Linked DNA regions of Oreochromis niloticus. The protein of the gene in region 3 binds, or shares a complex with, the protein of the main gene of each other region. Links are inferred from orthologs where the notes say so. Each region holds a gene or a part of one and is shown on either strand. Other genes may lie near its edges. The genes, in order: chd5, cdk2ap1, mta2 and cdk2ap2.

Region 1 (7,514 bases), on a different chromosome or scaffold from region 3:
TTTTTGTGACAGCACTTCAAAGCCTCAGATGTTCAAGAGCTTTATAACACACATGCGAAATGAGCAAGGATTGTAATTTGGCAACTCAGTACTGTGACAACTGCTCACAATTAAACCACCGAAGTAGTGTCCCAGTAAATGGCTTTTCGTCACTCTGTAACGAGCAATACCTAATACCAATGCAACAGACACACCAGCAAGATATTTAATAAATAAAACGTCTTGTGCCTTCTTTCACATGTATTCTATATTCCGCATCACTGCATTATTTGAGCAACACTTAAGACGAGGAGGGCCTGCTGCTGGAGAAAACATTGCATTGGATTTTAGAAGCTTCATTTCATGCTGAATCTACACTGACCGGCCAATAAAAAGCAGTCACACACTCACATATTTCATTTGAGCACCTTGAGCTTTGATCATGGCCAGCATTCATCAAGGCATCATTTCAATAAGCTTATGCAATGTCACAACACCTATTTCCACCTAGAGCTGTGTTACTTTCATGCCTTGTATTGGCGATGGGCTTGACAGTCTGCTAAAATCTTCTCTAGCAAATCCCAAAGATTCTTAGAGGGGTTAAAGTCTGTACTCTGCGGTGGCCAGTCCCTGTTGGAAAATGATGTCTCGTGCTCATTGAATCGCTCTTTCAGTTTTAACCCAATGAATCCTGGTACTGTCATCCAGGAAAATGTCTTTGTTATCAGGGAAGAACACAAACCACTGATGGAAAAACCTGGTCATTCAGTATATTGAGGGAGTCAGCTGACCTCATTTTTGGGGGGTGATTTGACTTCACTGAAACTAGCTCTCTGATCCAAAGCAGGGCTCTTACTTTCCGACCTTTCTGACTTTTGTTTTTGGCTTTGGAGTGTATTTTACAACCACAAACATTTTCCACATGGTAATGTGAAAGTGAAGCAGAGGGCAAAGCAGGATCTTTTAAATCTTGCCCTTGACATCAACCATCTGATGTTTGGAGCAAGCTATAAGAACTTTAAAATAAAAGGAACTTCAATGGCTGCACGGGACAATCTTATGTCTGGATTCAGCTCAGCAGGCTGCAACAAGAGGGCACTTCATCACCTGAGCTGCTGCATCACTAGATCAAGAAACCAATCATTAGCAGTTCAGAACTGGGTTTGTGTTACGCAGATGAAGATTCTGATGCCTGCTCCTTGGTGTACATTATGGACCACACAGTTAGCAATTTGAGTAAATGTCACAAGTAAGCACAGCCATGCCTGCCAAAAAAACTAAGACTGGGATTCCCCTGTGCCCTAGGATTGACACCTGCCAGAAAACCTAACAAACTTACCAGCCAAAAGAAAACAAAATGGCCAAAATTTGGCAAGTATCTTCTTGTGCATGGTCATTAATTAGGGAATCTTAAAACCCCCTGTGACTTGATTTGATCTTGACCATTTTTTTAAAAAAAAGGGAGGAAACTGTAAGAGCACTGAAAGCTGGTTCACTGCCAGAGTTGATGACATGTTCATTTTTCAGCCTGGAGAATGTTATTGCACAGGTTCTCTTGTATGAAGTTGCCATGTGAAATGAATTAGCAGCACGCAGAGAATGTGGGTTAGAGTTAATTCCAGTTCGCGCACGACCCAGAGCTGAAGGGCTGCCGGTGACCTAACCGGTGTCATCAGCGCGCAAGGCAAAGGAGCACACTTGATAAGCTCTGTTTACTGTAGCCCACACGTGGCTTTCACACCTCTGCGGCCATGCAGTGGGAGAAAAAAGAATTAAAGTTGAAACAGCTTCCTAATCACGAGCGCTAACGGCAGCGCATCATCCACAAAATGAACACGCACATTGTCACCGGAGCCCCCCTTCTTTTTTTCCACAAAAGAGCACATCCACGAGCTAAAAAGGGACAGAAAATCGCCAATGCACACACTGACACGGAAACGAGCAAAGTACGGGTTTTTTTTAACAGCTCTCTGAACAAAACTTGTGTTTGGACTCAAAGCCATTCACTTGTACACGCATGCAGCCTGTGAAAGAAAAGGCAGCCCACAGAAACCATGCAGCAGCGTTTCCATCGTGCCCCCAAATCAGGATGAATGTGAGGACAGCTGTGGGGGGAGAGATTAAAAAAAAAACCTACAACCCTTTGCCACCTTTAAGACTGTAGGTCGTCCAAAAAAATAATAGCATGACTCTGCTTATTGCACCCCACCCCTCCTCTCCGGTCTCAGGAACGCAGGACAAGCCCTTTTCCCCGCATTCAAGGCGTAGCGGCGCAAAATTATCTGAAGGACACCCCGCCTCTCCCCTTTCCCTCACCTGGTATATCGTCTTCAAAATCCATGTCGTCTTGTCCCTCGTCTTCATTGCTCAGCGACCCCGGCATCTTTATCTCATAGCCCCCAAACCCCTTTTAGGCTGGGAATACTGAAAGTTAACCCTCCAGACGCCGCAGCACAGTCTCTTTCTTCACCCAAAAAGAATAGTATTCGTCGCTGTGAAAAATGTAAGATTTTTTTTTTATTTCTGTGCAACGAACATGGGGCTTTCTCTCCAAGAGTAAAATAAAAAAAATAATTTTTTAAAAAATATATATATTTTCCAATGATCTCTATCCAGGTCTTCCAGTCTGAAAAATAAGAAAGACAAAAATGGAACACACATGCCCAGATTGTGACGTCTGGTCTGTTGCCATGACGATGCATCCCATAATTTCACCCACAACTAGTTAGTCATACTCTCCTAGTTACCACTTCAACTAGTAGCGTGCAAAAAAATGCACATCGTGCGCCGTGTGCTGCTAATAGACGGATGCACTCCCCGCGCCTGTCCATTTCCTTTTGGAAGTCCGGAGAATTGAGACAGAAACTTCTCCCACTTTCTCGCACAGCTGCTGCTCTATTCACTCACAAGCTCCACTTCAAAGTGTGTCTGCAGGTGGAAACACAGCACTGCTTTCTATTTTGAAGCCAAACCGTTTGTGTATACGGACGCTTTGGTTGATTTAGACGTCAATTAAGGCATAAAACCCCCAACTAACAACCACCTGACTCGATTTCATCTTGCAAGCGTCCACACTGTCCTGACAAAACACACACAAGTGCAGGCTGATGACTGCAAGCTGTGAGGAGTCCTGACTGCCAGTGGTCTAACTGTTGTCAAGGTTACCACAGCTGTATCACAGGATGCCCCACAGAGAGCTGAGCAGAGGAAGTATCAGCTTCAGCGTCACTTTATCTTTTATCAAAATATACAAATGAAAGGCTGAGAGTCCCAGCTCATCCCACATGCTGCAGGACTTTAGGGGGGGATGGGGGGCAATCACACAATGCAAATAAACCTTTTTATAACCAGATGACAAAAAAAAAAAACACCATCCCACATCAGAATAAAGAACCAGAAAACATTCCTAAATCTAAAAATTACAGATTTATATGCAATTAAAGTTGTCATCATGCATCTAAATATCGAGGATTATTTTTGAAAAACGCTAAATGAAATCAGAGTGTACAGTCACATGTTCATATCTCTGTTTTTATCGTCTGTGTGGGATCCAGATAACATAATCAAACCAAATGTTTCCAAATAAAACACAAGACCATCAAGGGTTTTCTCTCGAAGTATTTTATTAAGAGTGGCGTAAGGTTTAATCTTCGTCCTCTTCCTCCTCATCCTGGTTGATCTGGAAGTAGCGCAGCTCATAGCTCTCCTTGGTGTTAGCTACCACCCGCAGCCAGTCCCTGAGGTTGTTCTTTTTCAGATACTTCTTGGTAAGATACTTCAAGTACCTGAAAATGGAAGCAGAGAGCAGAAAGAGTGTGAGTCAATCTGCCCTTAAATTTCACAATTTATGTACCGAAAAGCAGCAAAATCCTGCTGTTTTTCTAGATTTATATTAAGGTGTAGAAATCGTTAAACACGACGTACAACAGTTAAAACTCTCAGTAGCCCAGATGCACAAAAAACAGCTCTGTGTGGTTTTTGCCATAAACGTGACCAGCAGAAAAGTGGGGATCACAAAATGAATTTGCTTTAGCATCAGCTCTAACCTAGGAGATCTCCACTGGTTATATCAAATGCTTCATTTAAGACTGAGAGTGCCACAGTCCCCCTCTGGTGGTGGTGTTTAAAATTTACTGAACAATTACAGTATGAAGTGGACATAAAGGTTGTTAGGGAAAGTTCCAGAAATGCACACAGGCCCACATAACCCAACATTTAAAACATGTGGATTAGCTGGGCATATGTATGTTTTGCAACTTTGCTACAGCCAATTTTAAAAAGGAGTTCAAGTACTTTAATGATCAGATGTATAATACATATACCATTATTATATCTAGGTTATTATATAGTTAATACTGTTTATTGTCCAAATAGAACATTAGAATCATTATTAAGTGGTGGCTACAGCCTAATAAATATATATAACGAGATAACAAGATAACCATTTTGGCTGTGCCACTCTAATCAGTTACATTAAGCACTACACTTCACAATAACATCTGTGTTTCGAAGGTGCTTGAGGCAACTGTTGTTGTAATTTGGCGCTATATAAATAAATCTGAATCGAAATTCAAATAGATCTCACTTTTAGATATTAGTTTTGGTTTTTTAAAATATTCACAAAACTTCAGACAAATCCACAATTAATACAATAATTCTGAAACTCATTGTGTTTAGACTGTTTCATGTGTTCACAGAAGAACCTTTAAGCAGCAGGCATGTTTCTTCAGAACTGACTGCCAGAGGACGAGACCTCCACAGTAGGCACATGTCACCAGAATCGATACTTATGGTACCTTTCAATACCAACATTCTAAATACACGGTATTTGTATTTTCTTAGTACTGTAGGTACTGTAGACACAGAATGTACACATTATGGTCAAAAAATAAATATTCTACTTTGCTTTCTGTACCTGACACACAACGACACCTTAGTGTGTACTGACCTTACAAAATTTATGCTACAACCTACCTCTTTTTTTGTTAAATCAACCAACAGGAATGCAACACGAAATTAGGCACTGATCAATGACAATTTCACACACAAAAGAAAAAGGTGGCAGTAAAATTTGTGAAAAAGGTAATGAATTCAAGCATAGAAGAAAATACTGTGCAGTTGGGGCAGCATGAGTACACATTAAGATGACACACCATAGGAAGAGACCATAGTTGTGTGTCATAGCCTACAATTCAGTCAGTTTTTATTGTTATGTCTACACACATCAAACTTGATGTTATGCCCATATTAGGATGCAGCAGGACCTTGTTGCACGATGTGGCAAGCAATGATGAACTTATCTGATCCCTAAAAATCTTTTGTTTTTTAAGCATTTTTATGAGATTTCTTGGCTTCTCACATAAGGTAGATACTCTCTAGTGGTGTATCTGTCCAGAGTATTTATTGCCACACTTGTGTGAAACCAGCTCATGTAATACTGGATAAATGTACTTGCGCTGCAACTGGAAAAAACATCAGATCACAAGCTCTCAAATAAGTGGGAAACCACAAAGACAGCATGATCAGTCAGAAGACACATTCAGGCTGAGTATCAGTAAAATTTTGCAACCACTGTGTAAGTGACAACCAAACACAGCCATATTTGTTTGGAGTCTTCTCATGTTTGCTCATTAAGTCTATTACAATATTACTGTGGCTGAAATGTCAAATGCGTTTCATTTCCCTCAAAATTATATTCAACAGGATTCTGCATACTTCTCTATTCCACACAAACAACAGAGATTTTCTTTAAACTTAACATTTGTCTTTTTAGGCCTTGTAGCAAGCACTGTGCAAAGCATTTACTGAGGGTTGCTGGTATAATGGCAAATGACTATGACCAGTCAAATAATACAATATGACATAGTTGCACTGTTTTTCTTTTATTTACCTCTTTGAGAAGGGAACTTCAGAGTTCACAGCAATTTTACTCTTGCTCCTCTCAATGGACACCACACCACCACCAAGATTTCCAGCTTTGCCGTTCACCTTGATGCGCTCCTGCAGGAACTGCTCCTGCATGTGCAGAGGACACAGCAAGTCACACACAGCAAGCACCAGAAATGAAGGCCTCTTTATGAACGTACAGATCAGTTTCTTATGAACATATGACTGACATCCGTCTTTTTTTCCCTCTCTCTTTTCTTTTAATATCAACTGACTGGAACCTTAATACAGGGCTTTGATTGATGCCCCTTATTTGACAGTAGTGTCTGACACAGAGCATTTGTGTCTGACAGCTGCTGCACTGATTACCAGACAAGATGTCATTTCTGTCAGAGGTGATCTACTCACGAAGTTGGCAGCATCCATGATGCCATCCTCAACAGGGTGGGTGCAGTCCAGGGTGAACTTCAGGATCTGCTTCTTCTTCTTCCCACCCGGCTTCTTAACCACCTGCCTCTTCTAACACAAATGGAGAAAGTTGCTTAAACTCGGAAAAACCCCAAAGCGAAGCGTAAGGAAGCAGCAATAGTGTTCAGATATCTTTATTAGCGGTTAGTCACAGCGTGTTCAATGTGTTCCAGACATTTTATACTAGCATTTTAAGTAAATATCGTAAAAGAATGTTGCAAAAACCACGAACAACTGTTTACATGCACCCTGTTAACCCTCACGTCGATCGCTGCTAGCTTACGCTAACAGTTAGCAAAACGTGGTTTGAGACGAAACGTTAAAAAAGGCAAACAAAATCGCGCGTGAACACTCGTTTCTTCTATATTACTGTGCACACGTATATACACGTCTATAAATGGAAAGACAAGCTAAAATAAGTGGCCTGTGTGCACTTTTATTTGGTCGTGTTACTACTCACAATCGGAGCCATGGCTGACAAATTCAGCGAAAAGGGAAGGAGCAAAGGCTGCACGGGAAATATAAGAGCCGGCCGCAAAATCGATCGCATCGACTTTTCTAGACTCGATTATGTCGCACTACATAGAAAAAAGAAGGTACGAGAAATTGTTTATGCCACTTGCACTAAATGTTAACTTTGTTCAGACGCGAACAAAGTTGTTCAGACGCGAACAAAGACGCGAATCAGTAGTTTGTCAGCTGGAGTGGAACCAGACATAGAGAGATTATTGCACTTACAACTATAAAATTCCTGGATCAGCAGAAACGTGGCTAAAATGTTTAATATAAAGTATAACTTGTAGATTTAATGGGGGTTTTAAAACCTTGATGTTGGGCCAAGTAAAAAATAATAATACTATATTTATTTTTAAAAATGTTTTAATTTTGATATTTTTTTTTAAAATAGCTGCCCAGAAAAGTGCATTTCAAGATGGCTGCGAGACGCTACCCTAGCACTTAGCTACACAGCTTCCTGTTAGGTGCGTAGTTAAGTATTATAGGTTTTAAAAGGGAAAGATACATTTTTTTAGAAAAGTTGAATAACATCAAACACATATGTAATAACCTAACTAGCATAATGAATTATAAAAGAAAATAATAAAAGATATTCTACCATTATTATTATTATATTATAAATAGTAATAGTAATGTAATAGTGTTATGCAGGTTATCAATATACC
Region 2 (7,508 bases), on a different chromosome or scaffold from region 3:
ATTATCAGAGCAGTAAAGCCGTTTTTTTTCTTATAGTCAGCAGTTTCACAAAGGAAGCATGTTAGGCTCTTCAGTGTTTGTGTTGTGGGAAACAGCAGGGAGGTGATGCTGATGGTGCAGGGCTTGACAGTGCGTATGTTTCACATTACAGTTAAAGAAAAGATGCATACACTGTAAAATGTTTTTAGGAACATGTGTGGGAATGAAATATGCTACAGCATTCACCACAAGCAGCATTTATTCTTCTCACAGGTGTAGTATCTCCTCTCTAACACACACACACACAGAAAACATTAAAAGTACAACGCCGCAAGAAAGTGAGCCCAGGCGGGGGTGAAGTGATTTTCTAGTTTCAACAGCAGCAGTGCTTGTTACTGTCATCACACTCAAAACCTTTTATCAAACCACCCATTCAGTGACCTCAGACATGAAGAAAAGAGATGAGTATGCCAGTGAACTTTGCTTTTCATTGCAGTCATTTCTCTTTCTAGCAGTAATTTCTAATTCCTTTATACTTTTCTTCCAAGAAGACAGACTTTATCATTTTTGAAAGTCATCTTGAACAATACTTCTCTTTGAAGGTTGTTTAAAGTTCAGTCCAGTCGTTGTACCTTATCACCTTCAAAGGAATGTTCTTTTTCTTTGTGAAGCCACCTAACACTGATCTATGAATCACTCAAGCAGCGAAAAAAGGCACAAAACTTAAATTATCAAGGAGTTTTGTTACTACATGACAGAGAACTTAGCAAAGAACCAATTTAAATTCTGTCTTGAGGCACTTTTTTACCAGCAGCCTGCTGCAGAAGTAAACATCTTTGATGACTATGAAAAATGCCAACAATAACACAGTTTGTCAGGTATAATAGAGTATATTTACACCAATATGGAGAACTTAGAGGACAAAAGTGGAGCAAAGGCCTAAAGAGCTATCTTTAGGCCTGGGTTATCTTATCTGAATGTCATGTGTTTAAGAAAAAGGAAAAAAAAAAAAAATCTGTCACAGGAGAGATGCATCTGGCCCTTCAGGTGATCCACCTACTATTCACCAAAGCCTCATCAGAAACAGGCTCAGCTGAAGCGTAGCTGTCAAGAAGCTGTTCTTAAGGAAGGGAAACTGGGGGGAAAAGCTCAAGTATGCCAAGTTACACAAGAACTGGGCTGAAAATCACCAGCAACAGGGAGTTCAAATTTTTAGTTTGTGTACCGAGAAGGTCAGGAGAGCGCTACAGCCATCTATAAAACAGGATGAAAGCTCTGTCATGGTTTGGGGCTGCATTTTAGCCAGTGATGTTGGGGCTCTTGTCAAAATTAATGGACTGTGAACGGAGAAAAGTACCGTCAGATTTTGATCCACTATGCAAACGTTTCATTTTTCACCATGATAATGTTCCCAAACACACTGCCACTGGAGTAGAGCATACCTGGATACAAAAACATTTACTGGAACACAGTCAGTCTGACCCCCCCTTACTCTGAAGCAGTGTTCCTATGTTCCTAGCTCCTATGAGAGTTAAGGCTGTGTTGAAGAACAAAGCTTCGACTTTCGAGATTGTTGGAATTATATAAACTCTCTTTTTGCATTATATACTGTATTCCCGTGTATGTTTGCACATGATTCAATAAATCTCTACATCCATTTCCCATTTTCCTAGCAAAATATAAAGAAATGATAGGTGGTTTAAGACTACAGTACAGTAGATTAATATAAACCTACTAAAAACTTAGTCAGTACTATTAAAGATAAAGCTAATCAGCAGCTTATGAAGCTATAAAAACTACTTAAAAATTGTTATGCTGGACATAGGTGATATCATCTTTGGTATGCCATAGTCTTATGAAAATGGAGATGAAATTTAAGTTTAAACAAAGGATTGACCTTTAGATATATCTGTCATTGTCTGGACCCATTACCTCTGGACTAAAGTAAAGCAAGTAGAAGTAAAATGGGTAAAATGTTGCAAAAGCACTGAAACATCAATATTAACAATCTCATAAGAGAATGTCAGTCAGGGAAAAAAAATCATTTTTTGCACTTTATTCATGTGCTAAAAATAGAAATTATTTCCCTTGTTACTAATAGAATTTTTGAATTACAATTTTACCAAATACCTACAATCTGTACACCACCGTTAGCTTGACTTGGAACGACAATTCCTATTGTTTTTTTCCCTTCTTCTTCTTTCTTTTAATTCTTAACTCTTCCCACTACTTCCATACATTTCTCTATATAACAGATACCTTTACTTTGAGCAGATTGATTTTTTGTATTTTTTATGTTTTGGCTGGTAACATAAAGAAACTGGGGATCTGAACACTTCCATCCACGCACATGCACCTCCATAATCACCGCTCCCCTGTCGCTTTGTTCGCCTGTAATATTCAACCTCCAACACGAGATGTCCTCGAAGAGACATAAAAAAAATTCGAGGCAGATCAATCGGCAGCTCCGACCGAGGAGCATCATGGAGGAAACGGAACAAGGCTGGCTCAAGAAGACATAAGTGATACATTTTTGTCACCGTGTAACGGCACCCACCCGGCGGGACCGCGACCCCGGACGACGGATATCGACACTGTAGGAACCGCCGCCGACTCCTTTCACATCCCCACCGTGTTTCTTCGCCGACTTGTATCGCGGATGGCGCTCTTTTACATTAGTAATAATGGCGGATATGAATTAGCCTAGCTCCCAGGATCTGACCCTATATATATAACTGGACAAAAACTACAGACACGGTCTTTCTCCAGGTATTCTCCGAGACCCCGAATTTAACACTCGATTTAACAGACGGATACTTTGATTTTCTCCGCCGTTTTTTCCTTACCCTGGTTCCCAGAAGTTCCCGGAATGTGCTGATGGACATTGGGTTTGTAAGACATTCCCAAAGACATTGTAAATTAAAGAAATAAAAATGACCCGAAATTCAGTGAAGCGTCTGTCTCTCACTTTTTGTTTACAACAGCGGCACCGGCAAATATGGCCGTCACTTTATATTGACACCCACTGTGCTTTTTAACATTGCTACTATCCACTGCGGATTATCAAGAAAACGGTTAAAAGAAGCACATTTCACCACAAAGCGACCAAATTCGCGCACGCTTTAACACGCATTTTAAGCACATTTGCCAACCTTTATCCCTGAGTTTACTTTAACGACACTTTTAAAAGACTTTTTTAACAAAAAGTGTTTAAACGTGATATGTGTTTAGATGTTTTAAACTTAAATTTTTTACACAACATTATGAAGGAGAAACCAGACTTTTAAAGTAGAATAGGCAACCAGACGTGGATACATGTATTTGAGGTTAAACTTTATACTCACCCAAATTTTTTAATAGATTTTTTTTTTTTTTTTTTTTTGGTTAAGATAAAGTATGAAAGAACACCAGCGTACCTGTCTTTGTCTGAGGGGTCGTATCCATTACTACTGATAGCCGTCTGCTTTTACCTAAAAAGAAAAGTAACTGGAGTTGGAAGCAGGCGCTCTTATTTCGGAGACTTTATCTTCAGTTTTTCAAAAATGTGCTCAGGAGTCATTTCAGTTCTTCATGTCCCATCAGTACTTTTGGCCACATGGTTGGCCACACAAAGGCAAAAGTGTGGTCCAATCGTGGCTCTCAGGGTCATGACCCGGACCCCTGCCCGCTCTGTGCCCCCCCCCCCAAAAGAAGGCGCACGTAACAGGGTGAAAAATGCACTGTTTAGTGTTAAATCATTTCAAAATAAATGTTTCTAATTTTGGTAATTGCAATCTTGGCGCAATGCAAGCAGTGGGAGCTCATTATCAATATCAATAAATTATCAATAAAACAACCATATAAAGCTTGAGGTTTAGAAGACAGCAGTTTTTATAGATTTTTTTTATTATTATTATTTTAGAAAACTTAAATAGTCTGACATTTTAAGGAGCTGGAGAATCGCTCCATAAAAAAATCTTAACGGCCTTTCTGGGAGTATTTCACCATGCTTTTGTTTAATGCACTTTGTATTAACTTATGTGTATGGGAATTATATGTAATGGCATTATATACTTAGTTGCCAGTTTATTAGCAACACCTAAAGTAATAGAGCTATAAATGCTCATATACACCTCACACTTTTAATATGCATGCATAATGCTTTTTTTTCTGCACTTATGAACTACACAGAGCTGTACTTTGAGCATCAAAATAAATGAATAAATAAAGTGAGTAAGCACCTCGCAGCATTCTCACATGCAGTATTTTTACTTTTTATAGGAGTACTTTTAAGAGTGGCATTACTGCCTTTAATAATAAAATACAAAGTGCCTGCATTAAAAACAAAAAACAAACATACCACACTTGTCATCTCAAATTGTTAGTTGCTGTTGTTATTTGATAAACGATTAACTGATGTTTCTGGAAGAATTCAAGTCCAATCATCTGTAACTGTAGTCTATAGAATTCTCCAGATATGCAATGTAATGAAGTAGCTTTTTAGTATTATAACACACAACAATGTAGAAGTATACCAAGCTTTATTGAGCATTGCACTCAGTCATATACAGGTAATTTTGAACTTTTGTACAACTCTTGTCAGTAGTGCAACTCGTGCGATAATGAAAGGAAAAAAAAAATTAAGTCCTTCAAGTGTTTCAACTTCAGATGAGCCAAATCTGCCATGACATTTTGACAGCATTTAAAAAAAAAACAAAAAAAAACTAACAGACAAAAAAAAAAAGTTTCCAAGTCAGCCACCAGCCCAAAAGATAAAATAACATGAGTTGTTGGTCTGTACATGGTGCACATTCAAGTTAAAATGAGACTTCCAATTAGAGAGCAAGCTCTAATGAATAAGTTCTCCCTCCACCATAAAAAAAAAATAAAATAAAATAAAAAAAGGATGCATGAACAATTTCAGTTTGACTCATTTTACAAACTGTACAAATGATACAAAGATTTGTTCTTGTTCCACCTAACAGTAACCACTCCACAGGTTTAGGATTCAAACACATCCTCCGTTTAATTATCACCACTGGGACAGCTCACGTATCCAGACTTTGGTCTGACCCTTCCAGGGCAGGTCGAGCATCACGCAACATATGACTGAGGTGGTACAGGCTCAACAGAAAAAGTGGACTGTACAACAAACAGACCTTAATTACAAGTAAGCTCAAGAAAGCAGAGAAACTGGAGAACCATGTTTGGATGTTTGACACATACGAGCTGTAAATACAGCTAAACACACACAGAGCAACTGTACTGAGCAAAGATGTCCAAGGACCACTGAGTTCTAATCATGCATTTGCGATACACTGTAAAACTCTTGTGTTTTGGGTCTTCATATGAGTTTAACCCCTGAGCAGATTTATATTTACAAAAAAAAAAAATAAATCAAAAATCAAAGTAACAAAAGAAAAAAAAAAAAAAAAACACTGAGAAGGACACAGTGATGCAGACTGCTGTGAAACCTTGAACATACGCACACACGAAAAAGGCTGTTGTCAACAACATGCATTTCACAATTTTTCAGGAACCCTTTATCTTTTTTAAAAACTAACCATTTTTTTGCCATTTTCTCTGTTTTAATAGCAGCCAGCTAAAGACCACGTCAAGAAATAAAACTGCTGTAATGGATTGGAAAGGAGTACAATATTAAATAGTTTTCCCCGACCCCAAACTGTGACCTAAATTTTTCTATTGCCAAAAATTTTTTAAGCATCAAGTAAACATTCAACAACTGATTCACAGCACTGTAATGTAGCTTTAATTATTTAGCACTTTTGTCTACAATATTTCTTCTTGTGAGCATTCAAATGCTGCCACGTCTGAACAAATGATGACACTGAAACAATCATTACAGTTGCCTAATTTATGTGCTTTGTTTCATTTCAGTGCAGTGTGAGTCTATACTGCACTATGCAGTAATTTATGGTCTCTGCATTTTTCTCACCACCTGCCCCTTAAAGCCTCTGATAGTAAAGGGAAACACTGTATAGTAATGTTAAATGCCCTCACATGAGGAGATAAACTCTTAACACCATATGTTTGTAGCTACAATAAAGGCCATAAACCATTTATTAAATGTTTCAATACTTTAATAAAGACTAAATTGTATTTATTATACCCAGTTCGCTTAATATTCATCATCTCTAACATTTTAACACCCCATATATATATGGATAGAAGTCAGAGGATAGCTGATGCAAAAATAACCAAATCATTTCTTTGTAAAGGTGCCCAACTGCTGTAGCTCCAAGTACTCACGCAAAGGCACGTTCACAAACAACTGGCTGATCAAGTTCCAACATGGACAAAAAGGAACAAAATGTTCAAGTTAGACATTAAAACAAACCAAGGAACTTTGAGGAATCTGAGACCTGTGTGAAAAACAGATGAGCAAAAACAGAAATTGGCCTGATTTTAGAAGGAAGTGGAACCTGACAATAAGAATATTTGGTCTTCACCGTCTCATGAGCAAATATGCCAGATACAGTGCCCCCCCAAAAGCAAAAGGTTTCCTGCAGTAAACTGCATCACTTTTTCTACTTCAGAAAAAAACAAAAATTCTTACGCTGCAGTAGTGCTGGGTAATATCTAATATAATGAGTCTCTAGCATACATTAATATGTGATTGTAGTTAAGCACTATATGCCCATCTGAGACTTTCCTCTGACTATGAAAAAAACGTAGATTTTGCTTCATCTACTTTTGGTCCAGACCCACAAAAAGTCTCTGTTTCATACTGAGGTGGTTCTGGGGTAAAACAGGGTAAAGTATCAGTGAGGAGTGGATAACTCAGATCAACATGCTCTCTTAAAGTCACAAATCTTCTCACTCTGAATGTCAGAGGAAAATACATCACCTGTCAAATATCTCCAGGTGAAAGGAAGAGTCTCTGGAGATTACAATTTTTTTTTTTGGGGGGGGGGGGAGTAAGAAAAAGAACATTTCTCTATACAACCACTGCTTTACATCCGAGTGTCACCACAGCTTGGTACCACACCTCTGACCCTCAGGAACAGTGAGGGTTGTGCACAAGGTCCTGGAGCCTGCAGTGTAGAGAGATCCCTTCAGGGAGGGATGTGAACTTAAGGGGTAGAGATGGGGATTAAAGCCCCTAAACTATGTGTGGTGTGTGTGGCTCAGACTCTGAGGGTGAAGCTGCTGCCGCTTCTGCTGCTCCTGCACAGCCAGCTGCTGACACTGGTCCGATGTTGAGAGCTTGTTAATTAACGGAGACACACAGTTCGCCGGAATGATCAGTCCTGCATTAAAAACAACACAGAAATTTTAAAAAAGGTCTGAGAATAAGCTGGGTGTCTACACATCTGAGAGGACCGCAATTAAAAAGGAACTCTTAAGTGTTAGAATACCATGTCACATGTCTGTCTGTTAAATAATAAGGCACAAAACATAAAACCAGGAGTTTCGCTGCGATGCCAACTCTACCAAAAAATGAGACTAGTTTCCAAAATATGAACTTCTTTAGTACAGCAGTCACTTAACTTACCGACTATCCTCTGCCCATCTTCGGTTCTCAGCCG
Region 3 (7,215 bases):
GCCTTATTCACTGTCCATGAATCCATGTCCTTCAGCCACACGCTGAGAAAAGAAAAGTTCTGACATACAAAAAGCTGAAGTGAAACAAAAACAAAAGTGTCACTGCAACCACCGTCGGAGCGTTTTTCTCCATTCTCCCGTTTCCTGTAAACTTTGCTCCCTTCTCTATTCCGGCCCACTTGTCAACCAGTCAACATTCAGTAGTTCCAATCTAGATTGTGTATGTGAACAGATACGTGCGGGACCATGAAACCAGCTTAATACAGAGACAGACAACAATCCACAGCTACAGCCAGTTTAGAATCACAGAGTGGGTAACTCAGTAAGTACCCACACAGAAAGGTCCCTGCTGGCTGGATCAGTTCACCAGATGCAAAATATTATAAAGCCTCAGTGACAAGAAAAACTGAACTCTTAAACTGAAGTTTTTAGTTTTTAAATACAACTGTACAGGTGTTTATTTTTACCCTATAATTGATTTAAAATACACATAATGATGCATTTAATAGTCTTTGCCAATGAAAAATCCTGTTCCTGGGTTTATGGCTCATTGATGCAGCACTGTATGTGGCATCACACTATTGCCTTTATTTCCCTGCACAAACTTGATCCAGCAAGGTGGCTGGGACAGATCCAGCAGCTCTTCCAGCCCCTCTACAGTCAAACCACAAAGTGATGGAAGCACGTTTGTCAATGTGTAACATATAGAACGTATGACACAGTATTGTAAAAGAAAAAAATTCTCATCCTGAGGAAAGAAAACTTCATCTTTGTTCAAATGTGACTCAAATCAACACTTGATTTTCACACTTAATTTTCTGACAATTTTCCATATAAACCTTCGTCAACAATTCTCTTTAGCTAGTGCATGATCAGTGCCAAGCTTTGTCTTCTGATGCTTTATCTCTTCTATAAATTCCAATAATTAGCTCCAAACAATAGGTTTTTGTCTAGGAACCCACCTTACAAAATTACTACAATTTTCTAGATGATATTTCTAAATTGGCTCTCCTTCCACATAGCGCTCTGTTGCTCTCAACAAAAATAAAACCCTGCACATCTCTCCACAAATAGTAGCTACAATAGCAGTGATCCTAAAGCCGAATGGTCAAGTGTTTTAGCAGCAACATACGTGGATCCATGAAACTGCACTGCTGAAGTCAGAGGAGAGAAACCGGCAATAATATGCAACATACACACACACAAAAACACACGTAAGTGTGTGTATTTTTGCGGGTAAGTGATAAGAAGTTAATGGGGAAAAAAAACCCCACTTTAACTGTTCAAACATTAAGCGCAGAAATATGCAGCATGTTTTGCAGAGCATAGTTTAATCGCTATGACCTAAATACCCCACACACTCGTGAGACTGCGATTAGCCTTCCCCCCACTCAAAGATTTTCAGTCCACCCGTAGCTAGCACCGTCTCCGAGGCTTAGCACTGAAAATGTTTCACAATCAACACTGAAGCCCAGAATCAACTGTCCAGATGATCCGACTGGAAAACTAACAGTAGAAAACAGCAGCTTGCTTTGTATGAACCATAGTTTAGTTTATTTTCTGACGGTGCAAAGCAAACTCCAAATGAACTGCATCTTATAAATGCCTGCCACTGGTGTCGCGGGGGGCTGCGAAAGATAATATTAATGACTAATTACCTGATTAATACCGCCGACATACCAGTTTCCTTTGCAGTCATGAAGTACTGATAAAACATTTTTAACAAACGAGAACTTAACGACTTATTACCACTTAACTTGGTACAAATTCAGTCGTTCACTTGCAGGTGTTCCAATATAACTGTCCACAGTCTGTAAACTAAATTCTTAACACAATTTTAACTAAGCTCTGGTAGTACCGCTATTACGCCAAGCTAACAGGACTTAGCAGCCAGAATTAGCACATCTAGTGATATGGCGGAGGCGATAATGAAATTAACCTACCAGCCTGACACAGCTAGCAGAGCGGTGTTAGCAAGCCATCACAGACGTCACCAAATTTAGCTAGATGCTTACTTCTCAACAGCCAGCAGCTAATGCTAGCTAGCATTGTGTTCATTTTGAGGACGTTATCAAATGTATAGACTACACGTCAGAGAATTGGACAATTTACTGTTATTTCGCTTATCTATAACCACCACATATGTTTGGATCTCCTGGATCCAGCTGGCTGGATGGATTTATATAAATACAAACTTTCAGAACCGGTTCATGCTGTGCGACGGCCGCCCTGTGGTACGGTACTATGATGGCGTGAACTAACTGGGATATAACACAGATCTGTTCTGAAAGTTGAACTTTAAAACAAATATACACTGCTCAATGTATTGTATTATTATAGTCCGAACACAGAAGCAGCTCTACCTGGCTACAGCTGTGTGGAAACCAAATCAATGTGAAGTTATTTACGTCTGTCTGTAAGCTAAGTCATACTACATTGTTTCGGCAGATCTGACGGTCTTGATGAAAGCCCGGAGTCGCGCAGCGTACGCTAGCTTTAGCTAGCTGCTAACAGCAGAGACAGCTAGCGGCTAGTTAGCCAGCTCCCAGTAGAAGCGAACAATCACGTTGAAGGGGTGTCTTAAAAATGTAAACCATTCCTTACCTCCCACTCGGTACATGTTGGCCGCCATTCTCTCGTAACCTTTATCAGAAGCAGTCCCAGGGTATTCCCCGCTTGGGTAGAAACAGGTCGATGGGAGTCTATTTTATTCCTTCATTTATCGTCAACACCCCCGCCGCGAAACAAAGCCGGCTCTGGGTACAACAAGAGAGCAGTGGCGGGTAAAAAGTTGAAAGTTTCCGCTGGCGACGCTCCGGCAATTATCTCCAAAAATAGAAGTTTATATTTTCTCTCTCTGGCGACCTTCCTCTCCTCTTCTTCACTCACTTATTCACATACAGCTAGCCTGTCTCTTACTCCACTCTTCCTCCCATCCTCCGCTCCCAGCTTCATCCTCCTCTTCTTCACCTCCGCTCAGTTCAGCGCGCGCGCACACACAGAGACAAACACACACACACACACACACAGCCCCCCCCCCCCCCGCTCGTGTACAAATCGTCAACTTCGGATTTTGTCGACAATCACCGACGTCTCACAGTCAACTTGTTCACCGGCGCTGGTTTAGTGACACAGACCGTCTGTTTTATGAAATGAACGACACGCTAAACTTACTTTACTGCTTGTAGTTTAAAAAGTGTCGCAGGATGCTTACCGGAAACAAACGCTTATTTACAAGATTTACACACAAACACAGGCTTTAATATTGCAAATTCAGAGAATATACAGACCAGTCAGTGTAATGATGGCAGCAAATGTGCCCCAAATAGGTCAAATTTTGAATGGACGGAAGCTGTTAAAAAGGAGATACAAGTATTATAAACAGTTATGTTTTTCTTGTACAGGCTGCTGGTAGTGCAATAGATGGCAGTGTTGGAGAGCAAATCAGTTTACTGAAGCATCACACCTAAAGGCAGTTAATGATTGAATTCATTTTATTCAATTAATTTTATATTTTCCACCTTAAACCATGTACCTTTACTGCATCCCAACCGGAGGGCACCACAGACTTTACTGCTGTCTTCAATGAAAACACATTTGTTGAGACTTCAGTCCTAAGTGTTCTCACCTGAGACCTGTTATTTAGGAACACACTCACAGGTTCTGGAGTGGCACTGCCCACTAGTGACACTTCACACACAACACACCTCTGAGTCTTCTCTCATTTATTTGGAGCTCAGCTGATACGACATCACAGTATTGCCGACGTTCATTTAAATACATACAAAACTGCACTAAAGTAATAATTTTCAAGTGTACTGATCTACTGTTAGAGAAATGAATTAGTAAGAGATGCTGAGTTGATTTTAATGGGACAGGCCTGTCACAGTCTAAGCATATAAAAAGTTGAGATTTTAACCAAACCTTGTTTAAAACATGTATAAAATCACGTGCACAGGCACTATGGCAGTGCAGCACTGTTCTGCACCAGCAATCAAACAAGAACAGTTCTCACCACATACACAACAGAATGACGAGGATTCTGTCTTATGGGAAACATCACACACACTGTCCAGTTTCACAAGGATTTAAAGCATAACATTAACATGGATGTTCCTCCTGAAGAGGATGTTCTGCATGAAACTAGCAGCAGTGTCAGTCCAGAGGATATACTGAGCCCATAACTCACTTCGATGCCTCTGCGGCTGTAAGAAAACAGCCTGCTTTCCCTCACTCTTATAAGCAGCCGTCTCCCTAGCTGGTTGCAGGTTCTGGAGAGCTGGTAGAGGTGGATGAGGCCGAGGCCAGTCTTTCCTGGCTGTTACCCACCCCACCTCCAATCACCTTCCACTGAAGGATGCAAGTGTCCTTCCCGCCAATGGAGAGCAGGTGAGAGTCACTGTGAGTGAAGCAGACGTTGGTGACGTGGCTGCCGTGGCCCTCGTACTTGTGGCTTGGTGCCTGAAGAGAAAAGAAGCAGGTCCACTTTGGGTCAGCGCAGAGGAAGGCCCATCATATCCCAGTCCCCCGCCCCCCAATTTGTCTTTCCAGACTAGGATAAACACCTTTCTACAAGGTTCCTACTGTTAATGCTGAATCTGGACTGAATGTCCCACAACTGTAGTGACAGCACTACAAACACAGCGGGCTCAGGGTCTTAGAAGATGTGACCTGCTCTTGAAAACTGAGCAGCTTATTAAATCAATCCGTGTGTCATCTGAACACTGCTTTAATGAACGAATACAACTGTGTACAAAACCGTTAACGTGGGTTATCTGATCTGCTTGAGCTGGACTGACTTTGGCAAACGGTTTAACTGTTTCTAACTCTTAAAACTGGCTCACTTTCATCATTTGGTTCTTATTTAAAAAAGAAAATAGTTACCTTGAGTTTAGGACAGGGGTACTGGAACAGATGAACCTTACAGAAATCATCAGCCACAGCCACCATCTTCTCGTTGTGGGAGCGACACAGCGCGTTGATGTCTGTGCCGTCAGAGCCTTCCAGCCACACACCTGAACACCACAGTACCACACTCATCAGTCTGATTGGATAAAAGAACTCCATGACGTTAATGCAATGCTAAAGGAGGACAACAGCATTTTGCTTGGAGTTTCTCACCCATCACGTGGAAGCCTAGCACACAGGTATAAGAGGCCCATTCTCTGTCTTTGCTCTCAAAGCGGTTCCTCAGCAGCTTACATCCTGCTGCTATGTCCCCTGTTAAAACACAGTCACTAAGCTAAAGAACGTACTGCATGGCATTCCTATAACAGCACTAAAAGCACAGTGCTGGATGTTCACTTACAGTAAAGGATCTCATAGTCGCCTGAATTTGACATGATGTACTTCCCATCTTTGGACCAGTCCAGGTGAGTGATGAAGCTGGAGTGGCCCTGATCGAACAGATAAGCAGACAGAGTGTCAGTCATATTAGCTAAAGCAAGCAAAGCTTTTATTCTGGATTTTCATCAGAAAACTCCATAAACGTCTTTGGCATTAATCTCCGTGTTTGCAAGCTCCATACCACACGTTGCATATGAAAGATTTCCAGGTCATTAAAAGTGAAGTTAATGTTCAAGTGCATTTAAACGGCATTCTTTCTAATGTCTAGCATGAGTATAATAATAGCAATAAGAAATTACAGTGGACCAGCCTAAAAGTAACAAATACATGAACTATTTTTAACAGATGTTAGATAGCATACTGCTACAATTTTCAGGGCCGAGTACAATATCCTCAGTTTGATCTGAATTTATAAGCAGAAAGTTAAAGACAAAGACCTGGATGGCCTCTAAGACATTCCTGCAGTTTAACTAATTGGTGTGTGTTATCTGGCTTCATGGACAGACAGAGCTGACTGTCATCTGCATAGCAGTGAAAATGTATGCTATGTCTTCTAATGATGCTGCCTAGGGGAAGCATGTATAATGTAAACAGAATTGGTCCTAGCACTGAACCCTGTGGAACACCATAATTAACCTCAGTGTGTGAAGAGGACTCTCCATTTACATGCACAAACTGGAGTCTATTAGATAGATATGATACAAACCACTGCAGCGCAGTACCTGTAATACCTACAGCATGTTCTAATCGCTGTTATAAAATATTGTGGTCAAAAGTATCGAACGCTGCACTGAGGTCTAACACAGAGATGAGTCCACTGTCAGAGGCCATAAGAAGATCATTTGTAACCTTCACTAAAGCTGATTCTGTGCTGTGAAGGTAACGGTCATTCCACTGATCAGTGTGATTTGTAATAATATGTGGACAACAATGGAAGTCTGTACACAAGATTTATTGACAAGAAGGAAAATACAGCACTAGAGCAGGCTCATATTTGATGGAGATGTTAACCAAGAAGAAATAATTTAAAGTTTAACTCACATTACATTTTCCAAAGCGGGTGTAACGCCTGCCACTCTCTGTCACACTGTAGATGTAGATGAAGTTGTCATGTGATCCAACAGCTAGGAAGCTGCCATCTGAAAAGCAAGCGGTCCCTCACAGTCAAAGAGGATTCCCACTGTGAAACTTTGGTACGTGGTACCCTCTCTATTCGTTTCCTGTCTCTCTGTCTACTTTGGCAAATAAACAAAATCAATGCACAAATAACTCATAAACTATGACTGCGCATTTTTTATGACTATAATTTATTTGGCTTCGGAGAATGAAAATTTTAAACAAAAAACAAAACAAGAAAAAAATCTTTTATCTGTGAAAATAGTTTTAAGCTTTAACTCAAAGTTTACTGCATGTTTTTTGTGTGAAGGAGATCATTAACTCCAACTCCATGACCACGTGGTTGGATGTGAACACCACCCTAATCTGTCACATCTACAGTTAAGATAGGAGGAGGAGTTACTGACTGACCTGGTGAATATCTCATGACAGACAGCTGCTCATTCCCGTCAGTGGATTCAGAAACTACCTCCCTGGTCAGCAGGTCAAGGACCATCCACCTGTCAGTGTTACAGGGGGTGGAGGAGGATCAGCAGGATACAGGCAGACAGGTGGAGAGTCAGAGAAAAGAACACACTGGAATGCACATGGCTAAATTCTCCATCTACTGTACAGGAAGCCACAGATCAATGCTTCCTAACCTTTCTTTTAGTTTGGAGCTTAAGTTTCGTTATGTGTTGTTTGTCCGTTTCTATTTCTGTCAGTTTGTCATAGGATTAATAAAGAAGTGTATCCATACTGATGCAGTCCCGA
Region 4 (7,085 bases), on a different chromosome or scaffold from region 3:
AAGCATGAAAAAAAACAGATGCGTCATAAAGAAAAAGAATTATAAACGTCATATTACAATTGAAATGTACATGAGAGACAACACAACAGTGAGAATGTTTTTTCATAGTAACTGTCTTTGCTGATAGCCAAGAAAGGACCATCTTAAATAATATATTAAATAAATAATTATTAAACACAGAAATCGTGAGTCCTGATGAGGCCTATAAATCTAACACAATTAGTTTAACAAAGATTTAAATTAAAATTTAGTTTTTATTTCCACAGTTCCACTTCACAGAGGAAGTCTCATTAAAATGCATGAAATAGCAAGTTAAAGACCCACCGTATAAGACAGAACTCTACAGATCATTGGTGGCCAATCAATATTTCCTGGGACTGTTGTGGAGGGCAACTCCGATAAGCTTACAAAGAGATAAATTTAATAGCGAGCTGAATTAACTTCAGCTTATTGGTGCAGCCCTTCACAACAGTTCGACGTTCACATGTGGCCACTTGGGAAAATGTATTGCCCGCCCTAGGATTAGATGATCCCCTCTAAGCAGTAGAAAGGCGGCGATATTAAGGAGGAAGAACCCTCATTAGACAGGAAGAGACTTCTGTCACAGGCATCAATCCAAAGTGACCAATGGGAACAAATAAATATGATAAATATGACTGACATTGTTGTCATCAAACTGCCCAAACTTCTGCTTTGACAGAGCTGGTCATACTTGTTGATGATCAATTAATCAAGTGAATTTGATTATCGGCACCTAGCTGCTACTTATGCACTTACTTCCTATGGAAAGAAGTAAATGTGTACTTAGTTTTTAACAGGACTGGATAAAGTATTTTAGACACTTTCTTTTTCATATTCCTGTATATGTAGCCTTAAGAGTTTGCACCCAGATATACTGCAATCTAGACAGCATTTTTTTATTGGTGTTGCGTGTTTCAGCAAAACACCTATGATTTGAAAAATATGTCACAGAGGCGCTGCTCAGAAGCTGAACAGTACTGCGTATCAAGCAAGAATGGAAAAACAATTCTCTTTCTTTTCAAAATAACAGTAATTGATCCTTTCAGTTCTGAAAGGGTTACAGCGTTGTTAAAAAAAAGATGAGATGCAGCGCAATGCAACACAATGCTCCCAGCCTTCTGGAAAGGTGTTGGTGCCATTAAATTAAAAAATCTTTTTCAAAAAGCAAGAAAATACAAGGTTTCAACATTTGCAATGTTGTCTTGGTACTTTGTGTTTTCGGATACATTCAAAATGTTACTAATTAGCAAATAATTATTTTGTGTTTTCTTTTTACAATTTACACAGTGTGCAAATTTTTGTAAGGATACTAAAGTAATGTCTGTCATTACATGCAGACAGTAAAGCCTTGCTGCAAATTAGCAAAAATCATTTTCACACTGCAAATAAGTGCATTGTCAAAACAGCAATTAAGATGATAGGTGAGTTATTTGGAGCAGGTTAAAGTGATCTCTTTTCCATCCATAATTACATCTCCCACCTGTGCCAAAATGTAATGATACAGAAGTGCAAATGGGTTTTTTTGTGATATGATATGATATGATATGCCTTTATTAGTCCCACAAGGGGAAATTTCATAAGCCTGCCGACCTATTGCACGCAATGGCGGCACCATCTTACCCTCCGACCATACATACATTACACAAACATCACATGGGGAAGACAGGTCAGAGAGGTATAACAATGGAAAATGCACCACATGAGGAAAGATAAGGAGAAAAAAATAACTCCCCCCAGACTGAGCTCCAACAGGGAGATCAGTTTGAGAACAGAAAAAAAACACCTCTGCACATAGCACATGAAAAAAACTCTTAATACACCAAAGAAACACATGACAAGCAACAGGGGTGGGTAAAGGGTGAGAGACAGCCAGTGTAGACAGTACATCCGGGCCTGCAGCCTATGCGCTGGTCTCCTTGATCCACCGTCAGCATCGGAAGGGAATAAGCGTCGAAGGCGTTTGGAGGGGGGATGAGTGTATGTCTGCATGTGTATATATGTCTGTGTGTGTGTGTGTGTATGTCCAGAGTTCAGCTGAGACAGTGTCCTTCGCCCTGCCAGGCTAAGTAAACAGTCTTCCAGCCAACCCAGGTGGCCTTGCATAGAAAGGGAAGAACAGTCAAAACACAGTCGTTATCAGGGTGTTGTTGTTCAGCTCCAGCCTTGCAACCGCAGCTGGCGCCGAAGGGGTATCTGTATGAGTGATGGTGCTTTTTACTTTAGTGCGAACAGCTCATATGAATTTCCAAGCAGTTCTACAGTCCAACACTGGTCTCTCAATCTCCCGTTGGAGAGCCGCGAGCTTCGCCATACTTGCGCTCTGTGATGTTGTCATTCTTGTGCCCAAAGAGCCGATTCTGAGAACTCACGACAGTGTGCCTCCCCGAGATGTCATCCAATTTACGCTCAGAGATGTTGTGCCGAGCGAGCCCTTCCGAGATGTAATCCAGTCTGCACTCAGAGATCTTATTCTGAGTATTCACGGCAGCCGTAAGCCTTTCTAAGATCTTATCCATGCTGCACTCAATGAGCCCATTTTGAGAAACTCACGCCTCTTCCCATCGTTTCAATCCCAGCGGGCGGCCTTGCTGTTTGAACAGCCGGTTCCGCTTCCTTAGTTCTCCGGTAAGTCAGGGACAAGCCAGCTCCAATCAGCCAGAACCCTGTTACCATGGTTCCGAATAGGTAGATATCTGCCGAGATGGTTCCGAATAGGTAGCTATCTTCAGCACTCAGGCTCACCCAAGCCCAAACTTCTCGTTGAGAAAGGGGTGTCAATTGCATTCAGAGACCAGTTGATCAAATCCATAATTCTCTTTTAGGTTTTAGAGAACAGACTATGAGAGAGTGTTCTAGGGAAAAGTAATACAAAAAACACGAGACTAGACAAGGACACAAGAGGCTAAGCAGGGAAGCTAAGGGAGAGGAGGAGGAGGAGAGGAGAAAAGTGCGACCGCCTTCGTCAAGAGCAAGAGCACTGTGCTGCAGTGTTTGGTTCCAGTACTTCAGAGGGTCAAAATGTTACAGCAGGGGCATGATGACAGTGCATCTCCACAAAATCATAGTTGTCTGTTCACTCTTTTGTAGCAGATGAGGCCAAATCTGTATGCTAAACTCAAATAGTTCCACCACCTCAGGTAATGTAAATTAAATAAATAACCTGATGAATTATTATACCTCTTTTAAGGTCCTTGTAGTTTACCTTAGTATTCTGACTTCATGCTCCAACTCCCATATTTCAGAGGGAATATTTGTATCTTTTTTTTTATTCCACTGAGTTTATCTGAGAACTATTACAGCATATTAGGACTTAACATCATCAACATCAAAACTTAACATCATACAGTTATCATAAGCTCAGCTCAGTTTATTTAAACTCGAATGTTGGTACTTTACTACAGGAAAACATGCTGAAGCACTTCAAAAATGACATCTTTTGTGATCCTATTCTTCTTCTTTGGCTGCTCCCCTTAAGGGGTCACTGCTGCGGCTCAACTGGCTCCATCTCACCCTGTCCCTTGCATTCTTCTCTGTCACATCAACCCTCTGATCGTTCCCTTTTTCTCCTTCAACATCCTTTGTCCAGTATATCCTTTATTCCTGCTCTGCACATGTCCAGACCTTCTCAGCCTTGATTATCTATCTATCTGAAATATGATGCCCTGGCATGAATTGTATTTTGTAATTGTAAGAAAAACATTAGCTATGTATTAATCTATCAATGGGAACAAAATTGTATCATGAGTAAAGCATTCAATCAAGTTAAGCAATTATATATTCAAATATAAAATATGGGAGTGAAAATAGAAAAACGAAGGTACATCAAGGAGTAAAATGTTCCCATTTCATATTAACTATTCAGCAATGTTTCAAAGTCTAAAAGTTCTTCCAGACTTTTTAATTATTATGTAAATGGGAAAGAATTTCTCTCCTAAATATCGTAATGTATTTATATATAACTATATCTTCCATTTGTTTCAGCGTTCGTATTTTCATTTTCGCTACGTATGACGCGGGTTTGGCGCGGTAGTAGTTTCTGGTGATGAAAACATTTAGGACATATGTCACATGTAAACCGACCAATCAAATCGCTGTAAAGATTAAAAAAACCAACAGCCCACTACCTCGTCTGCGCAGACTCAGTCACTGAGGAAGAGTCGGAGCTCGCGTCCCACAGAGGATTTCACGTCTCCTTAAAAAGGTACAAAATTGCCACTTTTTTGTATCGTTTCGGGTGTCATCGGTGGTCACAAGTTTAGTTTAACGCTATTAATATTCACTGTCTGTATTAGAATGTAAACGGCAGGCCTGTTTGGTTGGGGTTTACTTATGTTTTTGTGGTAACCGGCAAAAGCTAGCTAATCCGGCTAACCAAGTAGTAGTTAGCTTGGCAGCTTTATGTAAATGCTAACGTCAGCTTTTGTTTCATTGAGCACCTCTGAGCTCCGCTCGTGCGACTTTGAGTGACCACATTCACACACACCCAGCCTATGAAAAGCTTCATTAGAGTCGGCGTAAAACACAAAACAAGTACATTTCACAGGTTGACACATTCAGTGTAGTCTGATATTAAGCTATGGTTCTCTCCAGTCAGAGTACCATTGACAGATTAGGGAACTTGTATTGTAATTACGATGTTTTTGCTGCAAATTGTTAAATTAGAGTCCAGCGGACTCTTAGATGACCTGAGAGGGCCCATGTGGTTATCACGAGCATGGGTATGTTTTTAATGGCACTTGTTGTTTTCTGACTGAATAGGAAGATTTAATGTACTTTCCCATACAGTGCAAGCACAGAATATAAAATGTCCGCAGTGAGGACCTTGGTTTCCTGTCGGTTTTCTCATCTCTCTGCTGCAAAAGCAACCTGAATGAGAAACGTTTCCACTGACAGGTCATACATTTTGTTGTGTAATGTGTGACCTAAGGCAAACGTGCTCCAGTTTTACATTAAAAATGTTTGCGTTGCTCCCAAACACATCCAGGCCGACAAGTCTTGCTACTGCTGTTAAATAAAGGTCTATTGTGCTGATTTCCTCACCGACTGTTGTTGATGGTGATTCCTGATTATTGTGATTCACAACTTCCTTTGCTTCCTTCTATTCATGGATTGAATTGCATTTGTGTTTCTGTCTATCTTTATGCATTAGCTCTTAGGAGCTCATCATCACCTGTAAAGCTGTATAAGTATCGGGTTGACGGGACCGAAGGAAGCGGCACGTCGTACGGGGAGCTGCCTGCTGAAATCGCCATGAGTTACAAACCCATTGCTCCTGCACCATCTGGCTCCAACCACACTCCACCAGGTACTTTAGGACCAGCTTTAATGTTGTGCAGTGCCGTTATTAGCATGTTGTCAGTTTCTTGTGGTGTGTATGTATGAAACAGTTCACACTGTGACTATGGTCAACAGTCCCATTGCCTTCATAAACCAGTGCTGCCCCACACAATATTTTATCAGTCATTAACAATACAGCACAATTGTATTGGTAAACTATTTTTTAATATTTTACATTTGAAACAAAATTGCTTGTGTTTTAGGTTCAGCCTTTAATGTGTTCTCTCTCTTCTCTTCTCTTCCTCTGGCCAGGGTCTTCTGTGCCCTCTCCATCTCTTCCATCGTCGTCCAACTTCAGGCCAGCCTTCAGTGACTTTGGCCCGCCCTCCATGGGCTTTGTTCAGGTACAACAACAATTTAATTGCTCTGATACTTGAATACAGACTGCTTTAGTAAAGAGTTGTCATATTTTTACTGAAGCATAGGTCACCAAACATGGATTTTCAACCACTCTGCTTATGTCAATACTAGCCCTTAACTGAGTAAATAAACTAAAAAAAAAACTTGTGTATTCACATACTTTTCACACTCATGTCCCAGCCTGGGGTTGATTAAATTCACCTCTTTGCTATTGCTGAATTATTTCTAAAAGGTGTGATAAAAGGTCATTTTCCTTTATTTGAAGCTGCACAGAAGTTTGTTTTTGTTCCCATACATCCAGCAAAAAGAGAAGCATTAGGAGTTAAACAGTTAAGTTTAAGTAAGTTAAGTTAAAGCGTTACAACAACATACAAGAAGATACTATAGAAATGTCTATCAGTAAAGTCACTATAAGGTCGTAGAAAAAAATGTGCCTTTCTGCACTAGTTATTAGTGCTATATTGATTAAGTACAGTAAATATTGTTGGCAGTGGAAGGTGGTTACTGTTTGACTGAAGCATGTTTCATTAGCATAAATTGAAACCACTGAAAGGAACTTGATTTCAAAAGAGTTCTGAGAGGACATGGGGACATTTACATTATTGTTAGATGAGGCAGTGAATACTTAAACACTACAATACTACATCATTGCAGTGTTATAATTACTTCATCATCGTTACATCTGCTGTAAAAAACAAACTGACATATTTTTCATCTCATTCTTAAAAAGAAAAAAAATCTACATTTTTCATTCATGTCTGGCGTGTATGTGGAACTGTGAAATGACTAACGTTTTTTACTACTTTCCCAAACAGCCTGTGAAAGTGTCCCAAGGGTCCACCTACAGTGAGCTCCTGTCTGTCATTGAGGAGATGAGCCGTGAGATCAGGCCCACATACGCAGGGAGCAAGAGCGCTATGGAGAGGCTAAAGAGAGGTATGTTTTAGTAGTCAAAAGTGCATATCAGTAGGATTCAGATCATTGTTGTTGTTGTTGTTGCGTTTTTTTGGGGGGGGGAAAGTTTTTTTTTAATGCATCTATTATGCAAATCAGAGGAAGACTGGTGAACTTTTCACTTTTCTTAGCTCTTTGGTGCATGTGGATTTCACACAGCTTATTCTGAAAATGGTTATTTACTTGCTGCAGTAACAGTGCTCTGTTATTATCCTTTTATATAAAAAAATTGTCTCCGACTCCAGCTGAAGACTTAAAGCCCAATATCCACATTTATAAGAAAGTTGCCAGGTAAAGCCCCCCATGAAAGCTGGAATAACTAATCACAGTCAGTTATCCATTAAGACACATTTCTCAAAGTGTGGGGCACAGTGAAGAATTTAGTGAAACTGAGTTGCATACATGCATTTAAA

Evidence for each region.
Region 1: mta2 (region 3) and chd5 share a complex: the UniProt entries of both Homo sapiens proteins name them as parts of the nucleosome remodeling and deacetylase (NuRD) repressor complex. The link is inferred for Oreochromis niloticus from reciprocal best matches to the Homo sapiens genes MTA2 and CHD5.
Region 2: mta2 (region 3) and cdk2ap1 share a complex: the UniProt entries of both Homo sapiens proteins name them as parts of the nucleosome remodeling and deacetylase (NuRD) repressor complex. The link is inferred for Oreochromis niloticus from reciprocal best matches to the Homo sapiens genes MTA2 and CDK2AP1.
Region 4: mta2 (region 3) and cdk2ap2 share a complex: the UniProt entries of both Homo sapiens proteins name them as parts of the nucleosome remodeling and deacetylase (NuRD) repressor complex. The link is inferred for Oreochromis niloticus from reciprocal best matches to the Homo sapiens genes MTA2 and CDK2AP2.

The regions. Positions count from the first base shown.
Region 1 is NC_031970.2:11,663,421-11,670,934, forward strand, and holds the start of chd5 (chromodomain-helicase-DNA-binding protein 5), read right to left. Parts: upstream 3,016-7,514; 5' UTR 2,363-3,015; coding exon 2,296-2,362; intron 1-2,295. Other genes in the region: rpl22 (large ribosomal subunit protein eL22), read right to left, coding at 3,623-3,764, 5,870-5,994, 6,274-6,381, 6,794-6,805; rnf207a (RING finger protein 207), read left to right, coding at 6,804-6,929. UniProt on the Homo sapiens protein: ATP-dependent chromatin-remodeling factor that binds DNA through histones and regulates gene transcription. May specifically recognize and bind trimethylated 'Lys-27' (H3K27me3) and non-methylated 'Lys-4' of histone H3.
Region 2 is NC_031972.2:11,489,434-11,496,941, reverse strand, and holds the start of cdk2ap1 (cyclin-dependent kinase 2-associated protein 1), read right to left. Parts: upstream 3,021-7,508; 5' UTR 2,893-3,020; coding exon 2,826-2,892; intron 1-2,825. Other genes in the region: sbno1 (protein strawberry notch homolog 1), read right to left, coding at 7,087-7,229, 7,475-7,508. UniProt on the Homo sapiens protein: Inhibitor of cyclin-dependent kinase CDK2. Also acts as a component of the histone deacetylase NuRD complex which participates in the remodeling of chromatin.
Region 3 is NC_031967.2:3,171,853-3,179,067, forward strand, and holds the start of mta2 (metastasis-associated protein MTA2), read right to left. Parts: upstream 3,009-7,215; 5' UTR 2,633-3,008; coding exon 2,605-2,632; intron 1-2,604. Other genes in the region: eml3 (echinoderm microtubule-associated protein-like 3), read right to left, coding at 4,255-4,461, 4,885-5,015, 5,122-5,220, 5,309-5,396, 6,388-6,485, 6,874-6,962. UniProt on the Homo sapiens protein: May function as a transcriptional coregulator. Acts as a component of the histone deacetylase NuRD complex which participates in the remodeling of chromatin.
Region 4 is NC_031971.2:21,309,300-21,316,384, reverse strand, and holds the start of cdk2ap2 (cyclin-dependent kinase 2-associated protein 2), read left to right. Parts: upstream 1-4,074; 5' UTR 4,075-4,222; intron 4,223-5,170; 5' UTR 5,171-5,271; coding exon 5,272-5,326; intron 5,327-5,610; coding exon 5,611-5,702; intron 5,703-6,533; coding exon 6,534-6,654; intron 6,655-7,085. UniProt on the Homo sapiens protein: Acts as a component of the histone deacetylase NuRD complex which participates in the remodeling of chromatin.